Xenopus tropicalis: one gene and its partner. The protein of the gene in region 2 purifies or fractionates together with the protein of the main gene of each other region. This does not show direct contact. Links are inferred from orthologs where the notes say so. Each region holds a gene or a part of one and is shown on either strand. Other genes may lie near its edges.

Region 1 (4,281 bases), on a different chromosome or scaffold from region 2:
CTCCTGATACAACTCCCCAATATCCATTCATCCCTCATTCTCACTGGGTTTATAGTTATGTGTAACTGCCAGTGACTCGGGGGTTACATGACTGTGCGGATGTTGTTGGGTCACTGACTCTCATTCAGAGACAACTCCTGGGCCACAAGTCTGGTATTAGCAGTCTAAAACTGCAACAGTCTCAGACACCATACAAAGTGCCCAGAGATGCCTCTGAGTGAGAGTATTTCCATTTATTTTAGATTTCATCCCTTTTAATGAGAGACTGGTGAGACCACAGGGAAACCCAGAGAAGCCCAAACTGATGGGTTTGTTTCATAATGAGCAGAACCAGGGGTGCGGGCCCATACATCCCTGCTCTCCTTATGGGTCCGAGTACTGACCTGTAGGAGTCTCCATCTCTGTTGTAGTCGCACAGCAAGTAGTCCTTTCCCACGACTTTGTCGCGAGCGATCTTCAGGGGCTGATCGACAGAAGACAGGAGATCTTCGCACAGACTGGGTACCTACGGGCGGAACCAGAACCCCAGGTAAGGAACATAGCAAGTGAGAATCGGGCCTGGCTAGTATTTAATGTAGGCAAATGGCACACAATTGGCACCACTGCCCTTTAAAAAGGTCTCTAACTGCCTCTGAGCTCCACCTTCCTGGGAAGCAGCACGGCGGCCATATTGGTGCAGGCAGCCAGGGCCCACACAGGTGATACCACTTGTACCACAGGGAGAGGGGTGTGGGTGAATACAGGTGGGCTATGGGACGCACGCTGCGCGCGCGGGGGGGGGGGTAACGGCACTGAAAGCAAAGGGGCTCGGGGAGACATCTGAGGAGGCAGAACACAAAGAGAAGACAAATTGAAAGAAGTTAATGAGATTCTGATAGAGATTTGGGAACAGGGCCGCCCTTGTTGTACCTGGGACCCCCGCGCTGCCCCCCCCCCCCATAATGCACTTGGCTCCGGCCCTACACAGACTTAATTAAACTCACAAACCCCTCACACAAGAATATCAGCCTTTGTCTGCCCAGAAACTGGATACCTGCCGGGGTGGCCGGCTCCTACACACGGGGGCAACCGAGGGGTCACGGCTGCCAGGTGGGAAAAGAGGGGGTAACAGCTACCTTTATACAGTCCCCCCCATCCTACCCCCCCGGATACTGCAGAACCTTCATCATCCTGGGAACTGGGGGGCACCTCTCCTCCACCCTGGGGCTCTGTATATAATATACCCCCATAGTACTGGCAGCCCCCATACCCTGACTGCCCTTACAGTAAGGAACCCCTTCCTATGCTGATGGTGAGATCCCCTTTCCCCCCACCCCCAATGAATCACTCATTCCCCCTCTCTTGTTAGGGAATCCCATAACCTGACTGCCCTTACAGTAAGGAACCCCTTCCTATGCTCATGGTGAGATCCCCTTTCCTCCCCACCCCCAATGAATCACTCATTCCCCCTCTCTTGGTAGGGAATCCCATAACCTGACTGCCCTTACAGTAAGGAACCCCTTCCTATGCTGATGGTGAGATCCCCTTTCCTCCCCAACCCCAATGAATCACTCATTCCCCCTCTCTTGGTAGGGAATCCCATAACCTGACTGCCCTTACAGTAAGGAACCCCTTCCTATGCTGATGGTGAGATCCCCTTTCCTCCCCACCCCCAATGAATCACTCATTCCCCCTCTCTTGGTAGGGAATCCCATAGCCTGACTGCCCTTACAGTAAGGAACCCCTTCCTATGCTGATGGTGAGATCCCCTTTCCTCCCCAACCCCAATGAATCACTCATTCCCCCTCTCTTGGTAGGGAATCCCATAACCTGACTGCCCTTACAGTAAGGAACCCCTTCCTATGCTGATGGTGAGATCCCCTTTCCTCCCCAACCCCAATGAATCACTCATTCCCCCTCTCTTGGTAGGGAATCCCATAACCTGACTGCCCTTACAGTAAGGAACCCCTTCCTATGCTGATGGTGAGATCCCCTCCAGCAATGGAAACATGTCTGTATCTGGTGCTGGCAGCCATGACACTACTGTAGAACTGTAGCGAGGAGAGCACACAAATCACTGATGGGGGCCCCACAGCGGCCTCAGTCGTTAGCGTGGATGGGAAATCATGTGAGTGACGGGGCCGCTAATGTGCTCTAATTAATAGCCTGCTGGTCCCAGGAAGAGGACAATGGCCGAGGCAAAGGGTACGCACTAATGAGGGCCGGGGGGCTGAGATCAGGAGATATAACTACGTATGGAACGCTGACCCCTCTGCCTCCTCTAATTGCCCTGCCGGGGCCCTTCCGCCTTCAACTAGAATCTCAGCATGAGGTGCCCAAGGGCCACATTCAGTCCTTGCTATGTTATTAGTCAGCTCTTCAGCCCAACGTTTCTTCCTGCTGCATCACGGGGGCAGTTGGTTGCACCAGAGGAAATGTGTCGCTCCTGGAGTCCCCTGGTGCAACCAACGGCAATATCCCAGCGCCGCGGGGCACGGCCGCACCTATTGGCCGCGGGTGAGCCCGGACGTAGGGGGTTTCCTTACCAAATCAATGAGGTCGCTGAGGTTCTTCTCAATTTGTTGGGGAGGGAGACGCCTCATCAGATCCAAGGCACAGTCCAGCTGTTGTTCAGTCTGAAAAAGAAAGGGGAAACGGCGCATTAATTCTAATTAGAGCACAAAGGGCAAGTAATAAAAGGAGAGAATACAGGTTTATAAACCCAGAAGTTGCCAGAATGCAGAACTCAGGCCCAGACGGCTACTGAAGCTGGACCCACTGCCGTGATAATTACAATTATTGACATTTATAGCGAGTTTCCATATCCCCTATAGGGTGCTAGCACTTACGTGGCCAGCAGGGGGCGACCTATAGTAAGCGATGAGGGCTTCAGAGCTACAGGCTGCTCAGCCATTTGAACCATGGGAAAAGTTTATCCAAAACCCTATGTTTATCCATATACCCTAAGTTCGGGGCAAAAGGCTGCCCAGTTCTGCACAAGAGCTTACAATCGATGCATTCTATGCTCAGCCTGGGCTGAGTAATACAGGGAGCCATGCAGCCAATCAGCGGAGAGACTGGAAGGTGTTATTAGGAGGCGAGGAAGTGGGGTCCCTGCTGACATATTGGGCCAAACACAAAGCAGCGGGGGCATCTGGCGCACAGGGGGCCGGTCCAGCAGAAGCGCAGGTGACTCTCTCCCAGCGGGAGCCCCGGGGCATTTGCGCAGGAAACACCGGCTTATTTTATCCCACTGTCTCTAGCGGCTCCCAAAGGTCATGGGAAGCAGAGAGAGAGTCTTCTGGGTGATGAGAAACGGCTGTAGGTAAAGGGAAAGTAAGAAGACTGCTACATGCACTGAGTCTGGGGGGAACGGCCGAGCAATTACTGCTCAAAGGGACCCTGTCCCCAAGTTCCTGCTGAATTGTGCTTAGTACAGGGGAATCCCTATGTGCCATAGTTTTATGGTATCTCTCTGTACAGGCTATGAGCAAACTTAGGGGGCTGTTCCTGCTGAATTGTGCTTAGTACAGGGGAATCCCTATGTGCCATAGTTTTATGGTATCTCTCTGTACAGGCTATGGGCAAACTTAGGGGGCTGTTCCTGCTGAATTGTGCTTAGTACAGGGGAATCCCTATGTGCCATAGTTTTATGGTATCTCTCTGTACAGGCTATGGGCAAACTTAGGGGGCTGTTCCTGCTGAATTGTGCTTAGTACAGGGGAATCCCTATGTGCCATAGTTTTATGGTATCTCTCTGTACAGGCTATGGGCAAACTTAGGGGGCTGTTCCTGCTGAATTGTGCTTAGTACAGGGGAATCCCTATGTGCCATAGTTTTATGGTATCTCTCTGTACAGGCTATGAGCAAACTTAGGGGGCTGTTCCTGCTGAATTGTGCTTAGTACAGGGGAATCCCTATGTGCCATAGTTTTATGGTATCTCTCTGTACAGGCTATGGGCAAACTTAGGGGGCTGTTCCTGCTGAATTGTGCTTAGTACAGGGGAATCCCTATGTGCCATAGTTTTATGGTATCTCTCTGTACAGGCTATGAGCAAACTTAGGGGGCTGTTCCTCCTGAATTGTGCTTAGTACAGGGGAATCCCTATGTGCCATAGTTTTATGGGATCTCTCAGTACAGGCTATGAGCAAACTTAGGGGGCTGTTCCTGCTGAATTGTGCTTAGTACAGGGGAATCCCTATGTGCCATAGTTTTATAGTATCTCTCTGTACAGGCTTTGAGCAAACTTAGGGGGCTGTTCCTGCTGAATTGTGCTTAGTACAGGGGAATACCTATGTGCC
Region 2 (3,277 bases):
CTGAAAAGGGACCTGTAAAGATCCCTACACCACAAACAGAGCCAGTTTTGGCCCCAGAGAAAAAACCTGTGAAAATTCCTGTTCCGCCACCAAAACAAGGTCCTATGCCAGAAAAAGAACACACAAAAATACCTACGCTACCTCTAGATAAGACTTCTGTACAACCATCCATAGGAAAGCCCCATCCAGATAACACAGACAGTGTTGCACCAATCATTCGCCCACCATCACCACCACCCAAAATCCTTAAAGAGAACATTTATGCAAGAGAAAAACTTTTGTCCAATGGTGGAAACACAAACCCTGAAGTAAATTTGCCTGTTAGTGGGAGCAGAGAAAACTTGGTAGATATCAATAATCCTCCCCAACCTCCTCCAAAGATCTTATCTGACAAAATGAAGATTAAATGGGAAGGATCCACATCAGATCTAATGGACAAAGATTCAATAAAGCCAGTTGACAGAGGGAGCAAAGAGAACCTGGTGGAATTTGATTCTAATGAACTTGAAAAGACTTCTGTTGAGTCAGCTGAGTTGTCAGATGAAGCAAAAGAACCAGAGCTGAACGATGACATGAACAGCCAACAGTCTAATGATCAGGACATCTTTGATCAGCTAGATGAGAAAACCACTGAAGAAGTGGAAGAGGGTTCCGATAATTCTGAAACTAAAGAAATGCCTGACCCTAGTGAAGTGCAGAAGAAGGAAACAGCTAAAGAAGAGGCTTTTGAAGACTCAGGTTGCATCCAAAGTATGGAAGAACAGTCCTCACAAGTACAGAGCACACTAACCCAAATTAATCCTGCATTAGCAAAGTCAACCATTCCTGAGAGAATACCCAGATCATCCTCCCTGGGAGACTTCCTTTCAGAAGACAGTATGGGTTCTGAAAGCAGGAGTGGGCATAAAACGCCAATGTTACATCTTACTAAGGACCATCTGCAACAAGTTGAAATGAAGCTTGCCCGTGGAAGGGAGAAAACAGAGACACTTTTAAATCGGGTCTTGCAGGGCGATCTTATAAATAGTCCTGAAGGCAATGGGCCAGAGGCAGAGACGCTTCTAAATGAGGCTGTGAAGCAACTCAAAGAGGCATCAGAAGTATTACAAGAGTTACAAGAATCCAGTAATGTATCAATAGATGTGGCTGGGGCAGTAACCTTGAAAAAGAGAGACCTAGTGACTTTGTACAGGAGAAGTGTCCCTTAGCCTCCACTCAAGTGTCCTCACAATACTGAGAATAAACCTCAGAAGCGGAGCCATGGTTGGACTGGGGGATGCAGGGCCCACCGGAGCTGCCATACTAGGGGCCCCCCCACTGCCCACCCAACCCTCTCTGAACACGCATACAATATAGTTACCTTTGGACGTGTTGGGGGAGGGAGATCAGAGGCCCGAGGGAGTGGAACTCTGAGATAAGCACCACCCTTCTAAAACTGCTTTGGCACTTTATCTTGTACACCTTCTCTCTTTTGTGTCAGTGTTTCCTGGGGAACAGAATGGACATTGTAGATTATTGTACACAAGCCATGATGCAAGCTTAGCTAACAAGTGATTCTAAATGCATTATACTGTATATGATTATAAATAGACATATTCATAGGTTCATCGTACACTCCAAATTACACAAAGCAAAACAGATATAATATTTAAATATATTAAATGTATATTAAAAAGTGGTTATTTTTTACAAAGCATAGATTAAATGTTACATATCAAAAGGGGTTGTTCACCTTTAAGTTAACATTTTGTATGTTATAAACTGGCCAATTCTAATCAACTTCTCATTCGGTATTATTTTTTTCTTTTATAGTTTTTGAATAATTTGCCTTTTTCTTTCGACTCCTTATAGCTTTTAAATGGGGGGTACCGACCCCAGCATCCTAACAATTATTGCTCCATGAGGGTACATTTTAATTGTTATTGTTAAATTGTATTACTTAACATGCTATTTGGGCCCTCTCCTATTCATCTTAGGGTCTCTCATTAAAATCACTGCCTGGTTGCTAGGGTAATTTGCAACCAGATAGCTGCAAAAATTCCAAACTGGAGAGCTGCTGAACAAAGAGCTACATAATTTAAAAACCACAAATAATACATACCAGTTGCAAACTGTCTCACAATATCACACTCTACTTAATACTAAAAGTTAAATTATAGGTGAACAAGACTTTTTAAAATGGATCTGCTATTGTCCCCTGCCTTTCCCTTACAAAAAGATCATGTGAAATACACCTGTAAGGTATAATGACCTTTGAATGAACGCATTATACAAAAGTTACATATTTCCCTATTTGAGATATCACTCACTTGTCATGAGAAATAAAATAATTTCTATGCTCTAATGACACATCTCTTAAATCCCTGCTAGTCAATTACTCATTATACAGAGTTTGAACCCCTGTATTATTAATATGTTTTTTATATGTAACACTGGTTTATATTCCTTTTTTTCTACAGAATTAGTTGACATTTCCATGGTAATGCTGATTCTGTGAATATGAAGGAACAAGTAGCAAGATGTTCCTCAATATGATTTTATTGCATGGTTCTTCTAGTCACTGGGCAGTGGTTGAGCATCACCAAGGATGTAAACAAAGCATTTCTCTGCAAGCTGAAACATATTACTTTTTCTCACAGTGGGTGATATCACACAGAGAATCAGGTAACAAGGTAACAACTGGAGAAGAAATAGGTCTTTTTGGCTAATGTTGTATAGTGACGTCCACTAAACCCTAAAAATGAATATGGCTAAAACACCATATTTTATATACTGCACCTAAAGTTTCAGCATCTCAATAACCACAATGATCCAAGACTTCAAACTTGTCACAGGATGATTATAAATTATGATGCTAGTTGCACTGGTTTCTAAACTGTGATGTAGTATTTATCTGAATTAATTACTAATAAGCCTTTTAGTGTAACATTTATATTCTATATACAGTATACAGTATATTGTGAGTGGGTCCCTAAGGCCTACTGGGGCATCTTCAGAGATACAGATCTTCCCTGCTAAAGGGCTGTGGTTGCCTTGGGCTGGTAAAGAAGTCCAAAATGTTATGTACAACATTTCTGCCCTACTTCTTTAGTTTGGCTTTAGTTCGTCTTTAATGACTATACTTAGTGATGTAGCACAGACTACTGGTGACATCATGGGCCAAGTACACTTGCAATATTGTCATTACACCGTGCTGTGATGTCATCAGATTCTAAATAAAATCATGCCAAAGGCCAGGGTTGAGTTCCTGGTGCATTATAAATTGCCAGTTCAGATG

The links. Proteins that work in one complex are often made in the same cells at the same time.
Region 1: the proteins of plekho2 (region 2) and capzb purify together in Homo sapiens (affinity purification with mass spectrometry; 3 studies listed by BioGRID and IntAct, counting the BioPlex papers as one, with this or other methods). This does not show direct contact. The link is inferred for Xenopus tropicalis from reciprocal best matches to the Homo sapiens genes PLEKHO2 and CAPZB.

Annotation. Positions count from the first base shown.
Region 1 is NC_030683.2:129,989,113-129,993,393, reverse strand, and holds part of capzb (F-actin-capping protein subunit beta), read right to left. Parts: intron 2,616-4,281; coding exon 2,526-2,615; intron 506-2,525; coding exon 384-505; intron 1-383. UniProt on the Homo sapiens protein: F-actin-capping proteins bind in a Ca(2+)-independent manner to the fast growing ends of actin filaments (barbed end) thereby blocking the exchange of subunits at these ends.
Region 2 is NC_030679.2:116,154,815-116,158,091, forward strand, and holds the end of plekho2 (pleckstrin homology domain-containing family O member 2), read left to right. Parts: coding exon 1-1,208; 3' UTR 1,209-2,344; downstream 2,345-3,277.